Linked DNA regions of Caenorhabditis elegans. The protein of the gene in region 1 interacts with the protein of each later gene in a pairwise test. Each region holds a gene or a part of one and is shown on either strand. Other genes may lie near its edges. The genes, in order: num-1 and tat-1.

The links.
Region 2: the proteins of num-1 (region 1) and tat-1 interact in a two-hybrid assay, tested with the Caenorhabditis elegans proteins (one study listed by BioGRID).

What each region holds. Positions count from the first base shown.
Region 1 is NC_003283.11:20,828,138-20,836,006, reverse strand, and holds the start of num-1 (PID domain-containing protein), read right to left. Parts: upstream 6,197-7,869; coding exon 6,028-6,196; intron 5,634-6,027; coding exon 5,536-5,633; intron 3,629-5,535; coding exon 3,474-3,628; intron 2,921-3,473; exon of another isoform or gene 2,915-2,920; coding exon 2,818-2,914; intron 2,610-2,817; coding exon 2,235-2,609; intron 1,983-2,234; coding exon 1,611-1,982; intron 1,124-1,610; coding exon 1,013-1,123; exon of another isoform or gene 393-1,012; coding exon of another isoform or gene 1-392. Other genes in the region: sbt-1 (Neuroendocrine protein 7B2), read left to right, coding at 7,159-7,230, 7,561-7,869. UniProt on the Caenorhabditis elegans protein: Involved in the tethering and targeting of pkc-3 to modulate the intracellular distribution of the kinase.
Region 2 is NC_003281.10:12,418,398-12,423,430, reverse strand, and holds the start of tat-1 (Phospholipid-transporting ATPase tat-1), read left to right. Parts: upstream 1-1,860; 5' UTR 1,861-1,957; intron 1,958-2,708; 5' UTR 2,709-2,766; coding exon 2,767-2,809; intron 2,810-3,149; coding exon 3,150-3,207; intron 3,208-3,257; coding exon 3,258-3,357; intron 3,358-4,399; coding exon 4,400-4,585; intron 4,586-5,033. UniProt on the Caenorhabditis elegans protein: Transports phosphatidylserine from the outer to the inner leaflet of the plasma membrane, thereby maintaining the enrichment of this phospholipid in the inner leaflet.

The DNA.
Region 1 (7,869 bases):
TGCCACATTATGAGTCGACGAAGGGTTTCCGAGTCTTCCTTATGAATCGGATCTTCGGAAGTTTCCGTCATTAATCGACGTAATTCAGTTTTGGCAGTGACATCACTGCTCGATTGAGATTGAATATTAGGCGTATTCCATGAATAACCATCGAAAAATCCAGAGTTCAACATTTCAGAATTTCGAGAACTCGAAGCAACATCCAAACTAGGATAGTATTCACATCTACCATCAATATAGCTTGCTCGTTCACACGCTTGTGAATATGACCTCAATCTAGCTTGAGAATGGGCTAACTTCAGTGCTCGAACTTTTGACGCGACACCACACCGCGCACGATGACCAACGTTATGGACCACCGCGCGCACGTATTCAGTGTCTATGAGAACCATTTGATGAGGTCTGTTCGAGTGTGAAAATAGGAGAAATGTTGATAAGGAACTTTTTTGTTATAGGGAAATGGTAAAAGATGGGGGTTTACTAGTCATATCACTTGATGGATTATGCAAATTTCCAAATGACGTTGAAAAGGATCGCCGTTTTGAGTGTCAGAAATATGGAAATCTTTGAAAAAAAAATACAGTTTTTGTTTTTTTCAGTTTAGAACTTAACAAACTTTATCAAAAAAAATCAGCGAAAAATCGCAAATTTTCAGATTTATTTTTTGAAAACATTAAAAAACAGTTTTTCCAACGTTTTTCTCAATAAAATGTATTTGTTTAGTGCGGAAAATCGCAGAAAATAGATGTTTCCAACTGAATTTCCGTCGATTTCGCGATTTTTCCTCAAAAAACATAAATTTATCAAAAAATTTGAGCATTTTTGGAAGAAAACTTATTTTTTACTCAAAAATCGTAAAACTTGGCAAGACCCATTTACCGAGTTTTTAAACAATTTTCCCATATTTGTGATTTTTTCCTAGGAAATCTTGATTTTTTCCCATAAAACATTGCGGAAAGTTTGGAATTAAAATAAAAAAATAAGAACGCGCAAATAACATGCAAAATCAAACCTTTTTCTCAGGAGATCTCTCCGTTGGATTATTCGACACGGTCCTTAACGACATATTTCGCTTGAATTGATCAGAAGACGATGGCATATCGGGTGGTGCTCGAAGGGATCCCTGAAACTTTGAATTTTCAAGTGGTGTCAAGTTGTCACATGTGAAATTTGGAGATCAGCCAAAAATAGCAATTTTTAGGTGAAATTTTCAATTTTTTGATCAAAAACCAGCGAATTTTCTTTTTTTTTTAAATGATTTTCGTCAATTTCGAGATGAAAAGATTTGAATTTCAATTGAAAACTCGTATTTCAGCCAAGTTTTGGGGATTTCGTCATGATTTTGCGTAAAAAAACACATAATTTTAGGTTGAAAACCATTTTAATGAAGCAAGGTGTCAGGTTGTACGATGAGAAACTCAAGCTGGGAAGACTAGATTTTCAGTCAAAAATAGCTGTTTTTAGGTGAAATTGTCAATTTTTAGCTTAGAATCCAATAAAAAAAAGAAAACTCGCTGGATTTTGATCTAAAAATAGCTATTTTTGGCTGAAAATCTAGTCTTCGCAGCTCGAATCTCACATGGGACAACCTGACACCACAAAAAACGAACCTGTCTCAAAAACAGAGCCGGATTTCCAGTTGGTCTCGGCTTCGATATCCTTCTAATCTCATCCATATGATTTGATGCCGGTACCTCGTTAATAATTACTGATTGTGGATCCAAATATCGATCTTCAATTGAAACGTGCTTCCGGAACGACTGATAAGCCAGGTTTGAACGGGAATTCGAAGGGTTTTGAGTTGAAGTTCCTTCTGATGTATTATCCTCCCAATTTGGGTGGAATATATCCTTTGGTGGAGTGGATGAAGTTGATTCTTGCGCTGATTGCACATTTACTTGAGCTGTTTCTTCGTCTCGTCTTTTCTTTTTTTCCAAACATATTGAAAATGCACAACCGACAGCATGCGAGAGACGTTCGCCCTGAAAATATTGCATTTTTATAGAAAATTCGGCAATTTAGGTCGAAAATTGATAAATTCACTGCTTTCATTGCCTCCATTTTCCCAAATTTGTCGGAAAACCTGGAAATTTTGCATAATTTTCTGCATTTTTCTTGCTATTTTTTAAAAGATTTCTTAGCAATAAGAGTAGTGGGATTTGTCAATTTTTTACCTAAATTCCCGAATTTTCTGCCAATAAAACATATAAATAGTTTTTTCTGAATAAAATTACCGTTTCCTTGGTGGCTAAAAATCCATGGCACATCCACCGCCTGGATGCTCCATCTCTGCAGATGTACGCGAATCCTTTGTCAGTTTGTCTGTCGGGTGCACAAAATGAAACTTTCTCAATAGTCTGATCTACCAACAGTCCTCGACTGTTTCCCTGATCGACAACACGTAATCCGTCTCCTGACACGTACAGAACTGCCTTTACAGGCTTTCTCCGTGAAGCTTTCAGCGATTTCAGTGCGCCTTCACAAACTTGCATTCCACGAGACTCGTACACTTCCACTGATCCTAGATATTTTACATTGAAACAGCACGTACCCGTTCGTACGGCACCTTCGTCTGGCTGCCACTGTTCAGTCTTCGAACCGCCCGTTACCTGGAAAATTGAGCATTTTTTGGGGAAAACTTGAGGTTTTTGGAGAACATTTAAAAAATTCTCGATTTTTTTGCGGAAATTTGGTCGAAATTATATGAATTTCAGACTGTTACTTGGTTGGAAAAATGGTGATGAAATCCGATAAAAGATAAAAACTGATTTCCAAGTAAACTTCGGAAAAATCGATTTTTCACAGGTTTTCACGTACATCTGGACTCAAATGCCTGTCATGACTCCTATCTCTTCGCTTTTTTGGCAGTCTGAGCGATCTCCGTAGCCGGTCCATCCCTTTTGAGAATATTGAGCTAAAATTCACATAATGTACTTAAAAATATAGAAATCGACATGAAGAATAACCAAATCGGCAAATTTTAAGTTCTAGAATGCATTAAAATCAATTTTTCGCATTGTTTTCGAAAATTTTGCTAGAAAAAGCAGATTACCATCGAAAATCAATAACAAAATTGATGAAAAATTGGGCAAATTAGCGAGGAAATTGGTGAAAGAATTGAGCCTCACGAGTGGGGAGAGATGAGAGAACGGGGTAACGGAATCTGTGGAATTTTTTTATTTTTATTGGGGTGTCACATTGAATTTTTGTAAATAATGTTTTGCTTCTTTTGTTATATATATTAATAAATATTTTATTATAATATTTCAATAAGAAAAACTATGAGAAAATTCAGTTTTTTAGCTGATATTTTCCGTTTCGTTTCCCTGAAAGCAGCTCAATTTGTGTGGCCTGGCTAGTTTAATAGAGCGCACTTGCAGTTTTCGGAGAGCTCAACAGATAATTTGAAGATTTTAAATAAATAAAAAAGACTTGGCAACTGTTTGTAACATTTTTCCTTTAAAAATTAGTACCTTTTATCGTTCGGAATTGGCATTGGAACAATTGCGGCGTCAAAACTTGGTTGCTGTTCAGAGACTAAAGAATTCTGAATACTCTTTGTCTTTTTCTTCCTTCTCGATATTCTCGACAGTCCTCTCGTGAATACGTTTCCCTGTGAAGCGCTCATCTGAAACAAAAATCAAAAATTAGTCAAAAATATCGGGAGAAATCGGTCAAAAAATGGCAAAATAAATGGAAAATGAAGAGCACTTTTAAATGATAGTATGAGAATTTCGCGTTTGGGACCCGCTACGATGCAATTCAAATTTATGTTGGCAAAAAATGCATGATTCATAGCCAATGACTGTAAAACAGAAATTTCAGTCAAAATAGGACAAAAACTGAAACCACCCGTCGCTCTTATCAATTCCATCACATTGCACCGAGCCTTATTGCACAAAAGAAACACGACAAACGACGAGAGACTGTACAAAAGACAAGAGAGTGCAGAGATGTAGAGGGAAAGTTCCGTGCCTTCTCACTGTCCTGTACACAGTCTCCAATACACATAGAAACGGAGACAAATGACCTCTTTTTGCCGGCGTGATTCTCGATGATATTTGACAGAATTGCATAAAAATCGAGGACTTTTAGAACACTTCTATTTTTCGTGAAGAATCATTTTTCAGATGCTAAATTGTCTTAATTTGCGCTTCGAAAACACGGTACCCGGTCTCGAAACGATAAATTTTAGTTAAATGCCAGAAGGATGCGCGTCTTTAAGAAATACTGTACTTGGGCTACAATAGGGAATTTAAAAAACTACGATGCTTTTAAAGGAGGACTAACGATTCGGACGATTTTGAACGTATAGACCCAAAATGAGCTCAAATGAACAATTCATTATTTCATAATAAAGCTTCTGAAAAATGTTTCAAAAATTTTTTACGGCGGTTCGAAATTTCAAAAAAATAACACTGTTTTTAGTTAAATTCTCGAACTTTGGCCATTTTTCTGAGTCGCAGCGGCCCGATGATGACTTTTGAATTATCGTCCTTTATTAAATATTTTCGTTTATCTCACTTAATTTCGTCGATTAAGGTGCATATGAAGCCAATAGGTAATCAAAAATCATCGAAATAGGTTGCCTATCGGCTTTAAATATTCTTTAATCGACGAAATGAAATGAGTAAACTACAAAAATATTCAATAAAGGATGATAATTCTCAATTCGAGATTTTAGCTATTTAAAAGCAGTGTATTTTTTTCGAAATTTTGAATCATTTTTGAAACACTTTTGAGAAGTTTCATTACAGTGTTTTTTTTTCCAACTTCTACGACTTTAAAGGCGCGCGCATTTATACAAAATGGCCCCGTCATTGGTCTCGCCACGCGCTCAACAATTCAATGGAATGCGCGTGGCGAGAACATTGCGCGAAAATGCGCGCGCCTTTAAAGTCGTAGAAGTTGGAAAAAAATGCACTGTAAAACATTTGCTCATTTGAGCTCATTTTGGGTCTACTTTCAAAATCGTTAGTCCTCCTCTAAAAAAGTTTTTACCTGATTTTTTAAAATTTTTTACTGAAATATAAAAAAAGAGATTCCTATAATTTTTCATAAATGTTCTAGGAGTTTTTAGCGTTTGTTTTTCAACGTATTCTGTTAAAATCCTATTCTTAGAAAAGTTGTTCCGCCGAATTCCGACATGAAAAAGTTTTCGAAAAATTTGTCAAAAAAATGTTTTGAATTAAAAAAACAATTCTAACAAATTTTTGTTTACAGTATACTTTTTGTTTAAAGCATACATTATAATATGAAAATTAGTCTACTAAAACGAAATGGTTGGAAAGCAAATTTTATTTCGTGCAGTGAAAAATGAATTTTTCAACATTTTGTGTATGATTAAAAATTAAAACCTAACATCTCATACCTGGCATACCTGTCACGCAGGCATCAAAATGTCAAGTCACTGTTCAACTAATCGTGTGCAACATCATGCTTCTCACCATTGATAAAATTCTATATTTTCAGAAACTTTTGTTATATTTCTTAAAACCCTATATCTCGAATCCGAACTTTAGTATGACCACTTACTGTATCACACAACATCAATCTCGGTGCAGTATATCTAGACTCTTGATCCCAATTTCTTGGTCTATGCCTCATAAACGGAACAATCATATTGTCGAATTCTGAAAAAAAAACTTGTTAACGAATGTGCGAAATTAATTTTTTACAATCAGTGCCAAAAAATATTCAGAGTATCGCGACAAAAATAGCTGATTTGTGCAGAAACTGAATGTTCCGCCTCCTTTTCACCCGATTTCCGACTGTTATCGCCGTTGATAAAGGAGGTCATACTATAGACAACCCCTTTTTCTTACGTGTGATAGAGGGAGAAATACGGAAATTTTGTAGGGAAATAAGTCGTTGCAGACGTCAATGATCATTTTGAATTAGCAACATGTACGGATGGAACTTTAACTTTGCTCACGAGTATTTGAGATAGCAGGTTTGAAATTAGCACATTGCTTAGCGTGTAAACTATTAAAGATACCAGGAAAATACTATTTTTCCAAAACTCACCGCATTTATCGTAAACCCATATTGTAGAGGTGGCACTTCTTGAACTGCGATCCAGACCATCATACTTTAAACCAAGAATAGTTTGTTTGTGAAATCTAAACTCTATTGGCGGACGACACTTGTAAAACATAGTGTTCGATGAACCTTGCTGATGAACTATCCAATTCATAATAAAGTATAGTCAAGAAGGACTCTCGAGTCAAAATGTAAACATAAAATAAGTTTTGAGATTAGTAGAACCCAGCTTGTTCCCACGGTAGTACGTATCCATAACACTTCCACAAAGATCAATGTGAGTAGTCAATACAATTGTGATGTTACAAAAAACTTTACTTTAATTATTTTCTTAAATTTGATGAAAATTGATATTTTCACTTGCGTTTTTTTTTAATTTTCAATCTTACAATCAAGGTGGTTAATTTTTTTTCTTTGTAAAGAATTAACGGAAGACCTTGTAAACTTAATGATAAGATAACTGAGATTACAAAGGAAAGTTCAAAAAGTTAATAGTTTGAACAGATGAACTTATTACATGTTCAAAAAGTCAACATTTGCGTAACCAACATGGGTGAATTTACTTGCGAATTACTACAAGTTATTTCACAACAACAACATGGAACATGGAACATGGTTAAAAACAGGCTGTGACATTTTACAATGTTTATCCGATGAAAAACAATGTTTCATTTTAAAATAAATTAATTGTTTGTACAATAATCGTTGTCCTCAAAATCTTTGAAACCCCATAATATATCCTGTTTTTTATACTTCCAAGTATTAATCATAGAAACGAATAGAAGAGCTTTAGACCTCCTTTCAGTTTTTTCTTCTTCATCTTCCTCCATCTTGTCCAAAAAAATGACGTGCGAGAACACACTCACATGAAAACTCACAAAACACTCACACAACGCCTTCAGCTCATCGATTTTCCTCGAAGCCGTCAGCCATGAGCGAGGAGAAGAGCACATGAGCTCCTCTCTCTTCAGCGTCTTTACTCTGCTGTTCTGCGAGCCTCAAAATCCTTTCGGTCTATAACCGTCTGTCTGCTACTCTGGCAGTCGGCTCTCTTTTCGTCTGCCAGGAGAGCCAAAGCGACGCATTCACATTTCAGCACCAAACACGGTTGCCCGAATGATCGGTGCCGTTTCTTTGGTTTTCTTTACTGTCGGAGTTGCAGCTATCTATGGATTAGATTTGGAAAACGTAAGTAAACTCATATTTTGTTTTGTAGGCTTAGTGTTTTTCTAATTCCTGAGCAAGTGAAATAGATTTTGAAATTTTCAAATATTACTTTTTTAACGATTAAGGTATCTGTATTAATTTTCATATATGAACTCCAAAGCCTCAAACTGTGAAAGTTGAGTTTCAAGGATTGCAAATTTATTTCCGCCATAATCAAAATTTTTAGTGATGACTCACACTAAGATTATTATCTAGTGTTCCTAGTCCATTTTTTTTCGGATTAAGGATACTCAAGGAAAATTGAAGAAAAGGTATACATTTAGTCAGCTTATTCAAAATTCAAAATTTCAGGCTGGAGACTTTGTTCTTCCATCCGGAGATTTCATTGATCTCATCTCACGTGACTCTGAAAATCTTCCGGATCTCTCCTCTTTTGGAGTCAAGCATATCTCTGGTGGAGCTGGCGAGGGAGAACAGAAACTTCTTGAGGAGGACAATTTCCAAGAGAGGCAAGAAGTGAAAGTAGACAACGTTCTTCCCGCATACTGCGAGCCACCAAATCCATGCCCAGTTGGGTTCACAAAGGAACACGGATGCTTGGAGGAGTTTGAAAACAGTGCAGAGTTTTCTAGAAACTACCAAGCAGATCAACACTGCATC
Region 2 (5,033 bases), on another chromosome or scaffold:
TTCATCAGTTTTAATAAGAAAAAACGGGAAAAAGCTGTGAAAAACAAAAGAAAACAGGCGGAAAACAAAGCAAGATAAATGGCCGCTGAAACTTGTCGGCCCCTCGGCCATGGCCTAGAAACCACTTTTCCTCGTCCCTCGTGAGGAAAAAGTTGCAGTGGTGGTGTCAGACTGTCCCATAACGGCATGATCTAAAATAAATGCGGAAATTGAGATACAGAGTTTTCGAAAAATTCCCGCATTTTTTGTAGATCATACCGTTATGGGACTGCCCCTGACACCACGTGAATTTGGGTTTATTTCCACTATTATGTAGGCCTTTCCCCCAGGGCTATTGCCTAGAGCTTGATTTGTCTGAAAAGTTTAAAGAATTCGGAAAGTTCTGCGAATACACCCAAAATATGCTGAAATGAACGATATTCGTAATGAAACTGCTCAAAAAATGGTTCAAATTTTTATTCCGCTTCAAAATTTCGAAAAAAATTACACTGATTTTAGCATATATATCTCGAATTTTGGCCACTTTTCCGCCAGACATCTGTCCGCAGTTGACTTTTTTGAAATTATCATCCTTTATTGCATATTTTGGTAGTTTATCTCATTTAATTTCGTTGATTAAGGTATTTAAAGACGGTAGGTAACCAATTGATTTTTAGTTACCTGAATGTACCTAAATCGACGAAATTAAATGAGATAAACTACCAAAATTTGCAATAAAGGATGATAATTCCAGATAAAGTCAACCTTCGGCCAGATTCGACACGGAAAAATGGGAAAAATTAGAGATTTTAGCTAAAATCAGCGTAATTTTTTCGAAATTTTTAACCTTCATAAAAAATTTTTGAAGAGTTTTTTGAGAAATTTCATTACGAATTTTTTTAACTTCAGCACACTTTGGGTTTATACGTAAAAGCGGGTCTGAAGCTGTATTCATACGATGATTTATTATGGAAACGTAGAAAAAAGTCCCGTTTTTTCTGCGACTTCATAATAAGCCATTGTATGAATAAGCCTTTAAATATCGAATTGTTCTAAAAAAAAAAGACAGAAAATTTGGCAAATGATCAAAGTTCGTCGAAAATGTTTTCATTTCCAGTGTGTCTTTTCTCTTCTTCTCTTCTTATCAGGGATACATCAATATTTAATTAGTAAATATTTATGACGTATTCATACAAGAGAAAAAAAATTTAAATTTTTTTAAATTTTCAGTTAAATTTGCCGGAAAACCGATTTATCCAAAAATTTGTCGGGACCTAATTAGTTTGCAAAATTGTGAAAAATTCAAATATATTTAGAAACACATTTTTAGAAATTTTTCAGTTATCTTCGGTCGTTACATTTAAAGTTGAAAAAGCCCGAATTTCAGCTCGTTTTCCACAGTTACACCTATTCAGAACCTTAAAATAGCCTAAGAATTATTAGCTTAAGCTAGGTCTAAGCCAAGCCCAAGCCTGGGCACATAAGCCCAACCAAAATAAAAATCGATATTTTCAAACAAAAAAAATTCTAAACAAAAAAGAGGCTCCATGCTTTCTCCCTGCACTCTCTTCTGTTCACACACTATTTCCATGCTTCCGTGACGTGCCGAGGTTCTTCTTCTTCCATGTTTATTTTATTCTTGTTCAAAAAATTGAACAATATGGAAAAATAAATTAAAATACAACATATATGAATCACTTTTTCAAGGCCATGTACTCTTTTTTAACGGAAAACCAGTGTTTTTCTCTGCGTCTCACACCTTCTTGCTCTCTCGCCTCCCCAAGGAAGTTGACACGAACATTATTTGCTTTTTGGGGGTGAACTTATTTCCGTGTTTGCTACGTTTTTTTTCACCTTTTTTTTTTGTTTATTTAAATAAATATTATATTAATTAATTAATTTCCAACAAAAAAATTGGATTTTCCTGCAGGCTCCTCGTCATTCTATGACCGAAAATCGATAATTTGTTTGATTTTTCGTGGGTTTTTATATTTTTTTAATATTTATTTAGTTTCAAAGTTTATTTGTAAATCACACAAATCACACCATTTTTCGTTGAATTTTAGAAAAAAAAACCATAAAAATTAGAGATTTAAAGGATTTTTTTTCCAATTTTGCGAAAAAACAACTTTTTTCTTGAGTTTCCGCGAAGAAAAAAGAACATTCGCTGAAACTTCGAAAATCGATGGAAAATGCCTCAGAAATTGAAAGTTTGTGTTTCAAATCGTAAAATTCAGGAAAAATCAAATTTTCAGACATTTTTTCGCCGAAAAAAAATCATAAATAAGCCCAATTTTGGAGTTTCATCGATTTTCTCGCGGTTTATTCGGTTTTTTTCAACGGAAAAAGTAGAAAAACCCCAGAAAAATCAATAAATTCAGCCAGAAAAGACGAAAATATCGAAACATTCATTTTCGCGGGAATTCAAAAATTATTTAAACTATTTATTACAAATTTTATTAATTTATTAAAAGTTATTAATTTATTTAATTTATTTATTTTAATAACTTTTAATAAATTAATATAGTTTTTAATAAATAGTTTTAATAATTTTTGAATTCCCACGAAATTAACTGAAATTTTCGATATTTTCGCCTTTTCTGGCTGAATTTATTGATTTTCCTGGATTTTTTCTACTTTTTCCCTAAAAAAACTGAATTACCCACGAAAAATTGCTTAAAAATTCAAATAAAATGCTCTTTTTCAAAAAAAAAACTAATTTTTTCCAGATAATTCAACAAAAAATCGATAGCAAAGAAGTCGAGGTCAAACACTTTTTGGAGCATAATGCCCACAGAGGCAAGAGATAATAATCGACATATCCATCTTGGTAAGGCCCAAAAATAGGCTTAAAAAGGCCCGAAAATAGGCTTAAAAAGGGCCAAAAATAGGCTTAAAAAAGCCCAAGAATATCTGAAGTTCTGATAAATCATTAAAAAATGCGCAAAAAAAACGAAAAGCTCATCTTTGAGAACTCCCCGACCAATCAGCGTCCTCGAACTCCGCCCACTTCATCTGATTGGTTGAAAAGTGGGCGGAGCGAGTCGCTGATTGGTCGCAGTTCTCACGCCGGTTTAAAAGCTGGATTTTCGCTTTTTTTTGTGAAATTTCAGCATTTTTTTGACGAAATAACCGAAAATTTGGTTTTTTTTTAAATAATTTTTTTTCAGGCAAAGTCAGAGATCCCCACCACCAGCATGCTCAACGATTTTGCAGTAATAGAATAAGGTTTTTTACTGGAATTTCAGTCATTTTCTGTAAAAAATTGATTTTTTCAGCACTTGCAAGTACAATGGATTCTCATTTCTTCCCAGATTTTTGTATGAACAGTTCCGGCGTTACAATAATATATTTTTCCTAGCAATCGCCCTTCTTCAGGTTAATTTTTGGTTTTAAATGGAGATTTTGCTCGCTTTTACGAGAGAAAACCGAAAAAAATCGAGATTTTTGCTAATTTCTCTGCAAATTGAGGACTGCGACCAATCAGCAACTGGCTCCGCCCACTTTTGGACCAATCAGGAGTCGAATGACGCTGATTGGTTGAAATGTGGGCAGAGCAAGTCGCTGATTGGTCGCAGCACTCATTTTGGAGGGAATTCAGCCAAATTTTGCGATTTTTTTTCGTTTTTTTGTAGTGCGAAATTTTTTTCTTTTTTTTTAAGGTGGAGTATCGCCAGTTGGGAAATTGCTTTAAATCATGCCTATGGTACCACAATGACCGAATATCATGATAAAAAAATTCAAAAAAATTTTCTAGATATTATATGATTTTTTGAAAATTGAAAAAATCTCAGTTTTCACCTAATTCATATTTGAATTACCGCCAATTGGATTTGTTCGATGGAGCGCACTTGCACGTTTTTAAATTTATTTATTTCATTTTTTGTTATTTTCCATCGATTTTTAATGTTTTCGTTGCATTTTTGCTTGAATTTTAGAGAAAAAGTCAAAATAAATGCAAATTTTCGATTAAAAAGCAGGCTGGCAGGCGTAAAAATGACAAAGTAACGATTTTAAACGATTTCGAACCTGAATTCATTAATTTCACTGATTTACGCCTGTCAGCGTACTTTTTAATCGAAAATTTGCATTTATTTTGACTTTTTCTCTAAATTTCAAGCAAAAATACACCGAAAACATTAAAAATCGATGGAAAATAACAAAAAATAAAATAAATGAATTTAATAACGGGCAAGCGCGCTCCACCGAACAAATCCAATTGGCGGTAATTCAAATAGGAATTAGGCAAAAACTGAGATTTTTTCAATTTTCAAAAAAATCATATAAAATTTAGAAATTTTTTTTAAATTTTTTAATCATGATATTCGGTCATTGTGGTACCATAGGCGTGTTTTAAAGCAATTTCCCCACACAGAGTGTAGTCCGCCTTTAATTTATTTAAATTTTTCCTTTTTTTCAGCAAATTCCCGACGTTAGCCCGACTGGAAGATACACGACAGCCGTCCCATTTCTGATAATTTTATCAGTTTCTGCACTAAAAGAAATATTCGAAGATGTGAAAAGACGGCGAAGTGATAATAAAGTTAACGCATTTTCTGTCGAAATTCTTGTCGATGGACATTGGATTGAGAAACAGTGGAAAGATGTGAGATTGAGAAGAAGAAGAAAAATACATTGAAAATAAATTGGAAATTGAAAATTGGCAAAAAAATTTCAAAAAAAAATTCATTACAAAAAATCAAAAAGATTTTGAGCTTGAAGATAACTCGGAATTTTTAAAAATTATCAAAAATCACCGGTTTGCCAAAATTTCCGGAAATTTTCAATTCCGGCAAATTACCGATTTGCCGGAAATTTTGAATTTCGGCAAATTGCCGATTTGCCGAAAATTTTCAATTCCTGCAAATTACCGATTTGCCAGAAATTTTCAATTCCGGCAAATAACCGATTTTCCTGTAATTTTCGATTTCGGCAATTTGTCTGTTTGCTGTTTACCGGATATCAATTTTACCGTAAAATTTTCGGCAATCACCGTGTTTCGGGCAAATTCGGCAAATTGCCGGTTTGCCTAATTTGCCGACTTTGACGCTTGC